Drosophila melanogaster: one gene and its partner. The protein of the gene in region 1 interacts with the protein of each later gene in a pairwise test. Each region holds a gene or a part of one and is shown in the gene's direction. Other genes may lie near its edges.

What was found.
Region 2: the proteins of Hs3st-B (region 1) and Dcps interact in a two-hybrid assay, tested with the Drosophila melanogaster proteins (one large-scale study listed by BioGRID).

What each region holds. Positions count from the first base shown.
Region 1 is NC_004354.4:19,246,787-19,250,711, forward strand, and holds the start of Hs3st-B (heparan sulfate 3-O sulfotransferase-B), read left to right. Parts: upstream 1-1,852; 5' UTR 1,853-2,354; coding exon 2,355-2,537; intron 2,538-2,952; coding exon 2,953-3,416; intron 3,417-3,925. Other genes in the region: CG7992 (uncharacterized protein), read right to left, coding at 1-208, 268-328.
Region 2 is NT_033777.3:5,752,660-5,756,584, reverse strand, and holds Dcps (decapping enzyme, scavenger), read left to right. Parts: upstream 1-1,810; 5' UTR 1,811-1,907; coding exon 1,908-2,076; intron 2,077-2,137; coding exon 2,138-2,284; intron 2,285-2,345; coding exon 2,346-3,154; 3' UTR 3,155-3,267; downstream 3,268-3,925. Other genes in the region: Sec8 (secretory 8), read left to right, coding at 1-264, 318-921, 976-1,182, 1,251-1,427.

The sequences.
Region 1 (3,925 bases):
GCTGCCAGGAGCAGCCATGGCTGCCAGTAGACGATGCACTTCTTCACGAACTTGACCGTCAGCATGGCCAGGGCAGTGATCAACGCCCAGCAGGCGCCCAGAATCAATGGTCCATAGTGAATGAGTCCAGCGTTGAGGTTCCGCTCCGCAACAAAGGCGCAGATCGTATAGCCAAAGATCATGCCGCAGGGCAGGAAGCACAGGCAGACTGGAAGTGAATGAGACGTAATCTCTGGACAAGGATCTCCATTGGCGTGGCTAACTCACCCACATAGCTGGGCGCATATTTAAAGAACTTCAGCACCAGTTTGCCCCACACATTCGACATTTTTGCGATAGATTTGCGTTAGTTAGTCCAGCAGCAGGGAGAGGAAGGTTCGTCTATCGAAGGAGCTTAGAGCATTTTAGCGAGCAGCTGGAATGGAGATGCCTACGATGCGACGCCGGACAAATGGCAAATGGGCCGGTGGAAGTCCGGCGGAGAATTCGACTGCGACGAAGGCGGCGCAGATAAGGCGATAAGATAAGCCAACCCGACCCGACCAGGTGCATGTGTGTGGTGGCCATGGATACACGGGCGGAAAAGTTGAGGGTTTGGGATTATCTAGCCATTTCTCCGCTCGGGTTCATGAATTATGATAGTCAAAAGGAAATCCGATTATGTTGCGCATCTTGTGGAGAAATTCGTTGGTTATAGATCAATGTTTTTTTTTGTACCTGAATGTATCTTTTTTTGAGCAAGTATCTATCTATGGCATTACTCGAAGTACTATATTTCCCATTTTATGTAAATATTTTTACCCCAATTTATATGATCGAATTTCCTGGCGCTTTTTTCGCCAGTGTATCCCAAAGTGAGTGACTAATGCCGCAGTGGAATAAGCCACTTGGACAGATAAACAGATGTCCGCCGGTTGATAAGCTCCTTGGCAGTTGGCCCAACTGAGGGCCCCTACTATTTACCACGCTGCCACGGAAACGTACAATTTTTTGGCCTTTCATATGCATAAGAAAACAATGTGGCAAAGGCCATTGGGCCATTCCAACGATAGGGCTTAAAACTAATCTCAAATGGCTAATGGTGATAGGAGTACGGGCAATAGAACGTCCGGCGATAATGCTTGGTAAATTGATTTCAATCCAATATTAAATGCCAGCAAGTACTTTATCAGACGCAAATGGGGTGGTTGGGTTGTGGGTGGGTGGTTGGTTGCCAAAGTGGGTGGGGGTAAGTTCTTGGTTAGTTTGTTTACCTTTGAGCGGAAAATTGATTGAAGCCGAGAGCAAAAAAGAGAGAGAGAGAGAGTTGCGACAGGAAGTAAGAAAATAAAAGGCCGTATACGAAAAGATTATGGTCGAATAAATATTAAGATGGCATTCCCAGCCTACATAACAAACTATATACATATATACATTTTTAGAAATAATAAAAAATATTAGAAATACTACTTAACGATTGCGTTTTTGGAGTACATTTTATCATGTATTCGTTGTGAAGTTAGAAATTAACAAATCAATAATGTCTATTATTATTGCTTAATATAAATATAACTTTATCAGACTTGGAAATTAATTACTAACTTAAGTGAAATACTTATTTATTAAGATTTGATTTGTGTAGAAAGCAAAGATTTCGTCAAACCCTCACAAAGCGGAAATTCTTCAGATTTTAGTATCTTTTGATTTAACTATATATGTCTGCTTTCTTTCTTAAAGACATGATGTGATAGCAAGCTGTCACTACATTAATTATCTGCTACATTCAAGACTTGGCACTTCTTTCGGGCAGTGTACATTTGCGACGTCACACCAACGGCGATTCGACGAGCTGGCGAGAGAGCAAGCAAAACGCTCAGTTGCATAAGCGTCCCGAGACGAGAGAGGATGTGTCCAATGCGCCTGTGCGCTTCCCAGGCGCAACCATGACACGGCCGCTTCCCCCACCCATCCTGTCATCCTGCACAAACGGAGCCGAACCGGCGGCCCAGGCAGCGCTTATCCGCTGGCAGGGCACCCCAATGTCTTGGCCCTGCCTTATCCCTGGCTTTCACTTCCGCAACTCGGCTGCGACGACAGCTCCGGCACTTGCAGGCCGAACTCGTAGCGCCAGCACCACCCCAACCACACCAACCACCCACCAGCCACCTAACAGCAGCAGCAACCACCAGCAACTACCAGCAGCTCCAGCGTTGCGAACAGCCCCATTCCTTCAGTTGACTTCGCGTTGGCGGTAGCCGCCAGCCGCTGCTGCGATTGCAAATCACAATCGGAATCCGGATGCTGCAGGCAGTGCTCCGGGGCGACTGAGTGGCAATGGAATTTGACGGAGCGCTCGGAACCGATTATACCGCCAGATGCGAGACACGGCAGCCACTAGCGCCCAGCCAGCCATGATTGTGATGAGCATCTGGTGCAGCAGCCTCAGCCTGAGCAGCCGCAGCCTGGCCATCGCCCTGGTGATCTGCGTGACTCTGGTCTACTTCTCCTACAGCTTCAATGCCTGCCTCCTGGCCAGCATCAGTCGCAGTCTGCAGCAGGTGAATATGTCCACGAATCACTGGACAATGTCTAAGTGTAGGGGCTAAATGTATCCAATATCCAATGCATTTATTCATGAAAACAAACTGATAATTGGAAAATCGAATATAAAGTTTCGCTACACACATGTGTAAAGTGGAGCCAACTCAAAATTAGGGGGGGGGGGGGGGTTGTAATAATCCCCAGCGGTTTCAAAACATTTAACAAGCTGTCCAAAAGTGTGCTGTGAAAAGTTTAAGTTTTGTCTTTCGCTGAACTTTGCGATGCTATCTACATACATATATACGATTATATATATGTACATTTATAGTTGCATACTTTTCGGCATACTTACAAGTTGGGCATTTTCATAAGCCAATATGTTGATATGTTTCGCACGATGTGTGGCATTGACCTCTGACCTCTCCCGCGCAGAGCAACTTACGCAATCTACTGGCGCTGACCTCCTCGCCCCGCAACGAGACCAATAACGCCGCCAACAGCAGCAGCAGCAACAGCAGCAGCAGCAGGAACAGCTCATCCACCACCGGTGCTCCGCCGGCACAGACGGTTACTAGCAGCCTGGATGGGGCGCCCAAGTATCAGCTGCTCCGTCAGCAGGGGCTCCGACCATCGCGCCACCTGCCCGACACGCTCATCATTGGCGTGAAGAAGAGCGGGACGCGGGCGCTGCTCGAGTTCATCCGCCTGCATCCGGACGTGCGGGCCGCCGGTTCGGAGGTGCACTTCTTCGACAGGCACTACCAGCGGGGACTACGCTGGTACCGCCACCACATGCCGTACACTATCGAGGGCCAGATCACCATGGAGAAGACGCCCAGCTACTTCGTCACCAAGGAGGTGCCGCAGCGCGTCTACCACATGAATCCGGCAACAAAGTGAGCTTTTCTACATCAAACCTATTGTGATCATAATCGTAAATTGTTACTCCATCAGATTTGATAGAACTTAAAAACGGTCAATTCTTAAAAATGATATTTTTAGAATACTGCACTTTATCCACAAGACTGTATTTAGTCATAGCATACTTTTTAGCACCTATAATAGAAGTGTTGAAAATTGAAGAGAGATACTTTTTAAGGCCGATTTGATATCCCTTAAATATTGAAACCGTACGTAAATCGTAGCATACTATATAATAAAAGTGTTTCAAACGCTTAGCTGAGATTTTTAAGGCGGATATCCCTTAAATATTGAGTCCTTTTAAATATGTGCTTTATACACAAGACTTTAGAACTTGTTTTAGGTTTTATCATACTTTTAAGCACCTTAAGTGAAATGGTTTTCGGAATACAACATTCGATTTGATCAACATAGAAGGGATTAACATTATATTCTAAATGCATTATGCGTTTTACATTAACCCTACGTATCTGGACCATCAATC
Region 2 (3,925 bases), on another chromosome or scaffold:
TGAGGAAATAAAGGCTCTTAATCTAAGCAGGCCGTTGCTGCAGTCTACTGTGATGGTCGAACGGAGGTTGATGGAAACTAAGAACCTCATTCAAGACTTGCCCTGCTACTCCGAAGACCTGCTTAAAATGGTGTGCGCGTTGTTGAAGGCCTATCGGGAAATATGTCAGGCGGCCTATCGCGGAATCGTGCAGCCAGATTCAGAGGATAAGAGAATTTACAGCGTGGCATGGCTTAAAGATGAAGATATCAGCAGGTTTTTAAAGTAAGTATAAAGGTATAAAAGCTACATGAATTTATAGTTTCTTCACTATTTAGAACGCTTCCCAACTGGACTGATTTAAAGACCTACAGTCAGAAGTCGCGCCACAACCGAAAACTGCATCGCGGAAGCTTTGAGCCGTCGGAGGAGGAGAGCCCGTTGCAGGTTCAGCAGCGCAACATCCGCGAGGCTGAAATGCTGACCAGTAATTTAGGCGAGGGTGGGATCACCCAACAAGAGATTTTGGTCGAGATCAGTGTGCTTAAGGAGCTGGCCATACTGCAGGAGAGCATGGAGTGGTTTTCGTGCCGAGTGTCGGAATTTGCCAACGACTTACGCCGGCCGTTGGTAAACGGACTTAACGCCGTTCCAGCTGAGTGCGGCGCCGACATTGCTGTGAAGGATGGGACGATCAAAGTGATGACTAATCTGGCTTTGGAGTTTGATGAGCTGGCGAACACCTGCCTGCTGGTATTGCATCTGGAGGTGCGCGTTCAATGCTTCCACTATCTGCGCTCGAAGTCGAGTGTAAGGACCAACAGCTATGTGGGCTCCAAGGATGATATCTTGGAGCCCGACCGCCAGGTGCAAGTTCTGACCAAACGACTGTCTGAGATGGATGAGGCGTTTAGTGCCACTCTACATCCGAGGAAGACCAGGGTAAGTTGAATATTCGTCTCCAGTTGCATTTTGCTCGAACGTATTCTTCTCTAGTACATTTTCGAGGGTCTGGCGCACTTGGCATCGCGCATTCTTATCCAGGCCTCCAATTATCTGGAGCACATAGATCAAATAACCGTGCAGCGCATGTGCAGGAACGCGATTGCCCTGCAGCAAACATTGAGTAACATAACTGCCTCCAGGGAAGTGGCTTTGGATCAGGCGAGACACTTCTATGAGCTGCTTTGCATGGAGCCAGACGTAAGAGTGATTGGCCCAAGTTTTGTAATTCACCTTTTTACTTAGAAACACTTTGCACTTACCCACAGGAAATACTCAATGCGTTGCTGGAGCGGGGCACTCAGTTCTCGGAAATGCAGCTGCTCAATGCCTTGCAGTTGTCCTGCAAGTCCTTCGGCATAACCGACGCCAATCTCCTCGCTTCCTATCAGCAGAAGCTGTCGGACATACTAGGCGCCAAGCCCTCGAAGGGAGTAGTTGTGTAGTTAGCGTGGCAGGCGGCGGGTAAAACCAATTTTAATATCCATACTTTTGTTTACATCGGCTGCAGGTGTAAGTGCAAATTGTATGTTAGTGTTAAGCTCAAAATAATTGCGAATGTTCTGAACATGATTGGCGAGCACTTAGTGTTGTAGCCGTTTGTAAAGATACATATTCTAAAGATCATTAACAGTACTTCAATGGCCTATACACAATAAATGAGAATTCAACAACGATGTTTTGACTGTATTAATTTGCTGCATCTAGTGTATCTAATTTTAACATTTTTTCAACTCAACCGGTTGCTAAACCGTTTCAGCAATGTTATTTAACAGGGTTTGAGTGCTCGCTAAATGGACTTACGAAATGAGTATGGAATTTTCGTGCAGCCCAGTCATGGTCACGCTGCCTCTCTGAAAAGCCGCAAGAAAATAAAAATAAATATATCTTTCTAGCTATTATTATTGTTGTTATTATTAACAAAAATGTCGGAAACAGTTGATAGCACAGAGGTAAAGTCGCCGTCGTACGACTTATCCAAGTTCCAACTGAAGCGAATCCTAACCAACAACAGCGTTAGGAAAAGTATATCCCTGCTTGGCACTTTTCCGGATTTAGGAACCGATGATGCCATTGTTGTTTTCGAGAAAAATGGTATAAAAGCGTAAATGAAAGCAACTAATGTTCGCTACAGTATAATCCTTACTAACCGCAGCGTACCGGGAAAGCGATGTGGCCACGGCGTCATCAGAAGAGTCTCCCAAGAAGCCTAGCTATTTTACCGCGGACCTGAAAGTTGACACTGAGTTTATCAACAATATCTACGGCAGTTTTCAGGTTGTGCCGACCCAGGATTTGTGCAGTAAATATTAGATTCATAATTCATACTGATAAATCATAGATTTTTATCATTCATTTCGCAGGTGTGAAAAGCACAGTCATTTATCCCGCCACCGAGAAGCACATCGAGAAATACTCAGTATCTCAAAAGTATCTCATCCGGGAGACTCCTGATCTCTACCAAAGAATAACTCTTCCATATCTCACCTCAAGTCAATTCTCCCTCGAGTGGGTCTACAACATACTCGAGCATAAGCAGGAGACGGAACGTATCGTGTACGAGGACAGGGATCCAAAGACTGGCTTTATCCTTCTGCCCGATCTCAAATGGGACGGACGCAATGTGGAAACCCTCTATCTGCTGGGAATTGTCCACAAGCGCGACATCAAGTCTCTGCGCGACTTGAATGAAAGTCATCTCGATCTTTTGCGCAACGTGCGCCAAGCGTCGAAGGACGCAATTGCCAAGCTATACGGCATTAATCCCAATCAGCTGCGCATGTACTTTCATTACCAGCCGTCCTTCTATCACCTCCACGTGCACATCAATCCAGTACGGAACGATGCACCGGGCATATGGTGCGAGAAGTCCCACATGCTGGACACGGTGATCAACAACTTGGAGCTGATGCCGGACTACTATCAGCGAGCCACCTTGCCGTTTGTCCTGTACGAAGGCAATAAGCTGTTGGATCTCTATGAGCAGGAGCTACCCATTAGAGCGCTGACAGTATCGAGCGACGATAAGGAGCTCCCTGACTCAGACTCTTTGAACGTCGCTCCACCGGAAGGCTTTAGCGATGAGGAGCCGGAGGAGAGGCAGTGCAAGCGCATAAAGTTGGGCTCGCCGGAGCCCAAGGAGGCCGAGTCCGCTGTTCAGGCGTGTGCCTAAACTGGTATTACTTAATGAGAAAGCTAACCCTAGATGTTGCCTATCAAAAATACATCCTACTTATGATCATTCAATTCAAAATAAAGTTATTTTCAAAAATTTCGTTTGAGAGCACTTGCTGGAAGTACACATTATTAATTGTTATAAAATATTCAGAATATTTCTTTTCGTTTCACACATTTAAAAACAGTCGCTTAAGAGAAAACGATTGAATTCTGAGTACCTCGTGAATAGTTGTGATGCCTCACTGCTTTGACATCATTGTAATGGGGTTCGCAAATAAGAATCATATATACACTATTTAACTTCATTTATTTTTTCATATACAAAAATCACGTCTGATCGCTATGACCGCAAAATTACAAGAGCGAAAGAAAGAATACAGTTCAGTTCAATTAGCATCGATATATAAAATGTTAATCCGCTGTTAAGACAGCTGAAGCACCGGGTGACTCCGCTCATAATCCGTACATGCCGCCCGCCAATGCGTCGTCCAGCATGAAGGCTCCTTGTGATTCTTGATCCGTGTGTTGATCATAATTATGTTGAAATCGGAAGTGGACAAAGCTTTGTGATTGACCTCTTTTGAATGCCAGATTTCGTCTTTAATGTAACCACTCTGACTAGCGAGTCCGATCCAGGGTGCAGTTCGACGACTCGGCCTATAGTCCATTTAGCTGGTGGTAGATTATCATCCTTTATAATGACTAAGTCGTTGATGTTAAGATTATCTTTGATTTGGCACCACTTTGGCCGAGTTTGCAAGTGTGA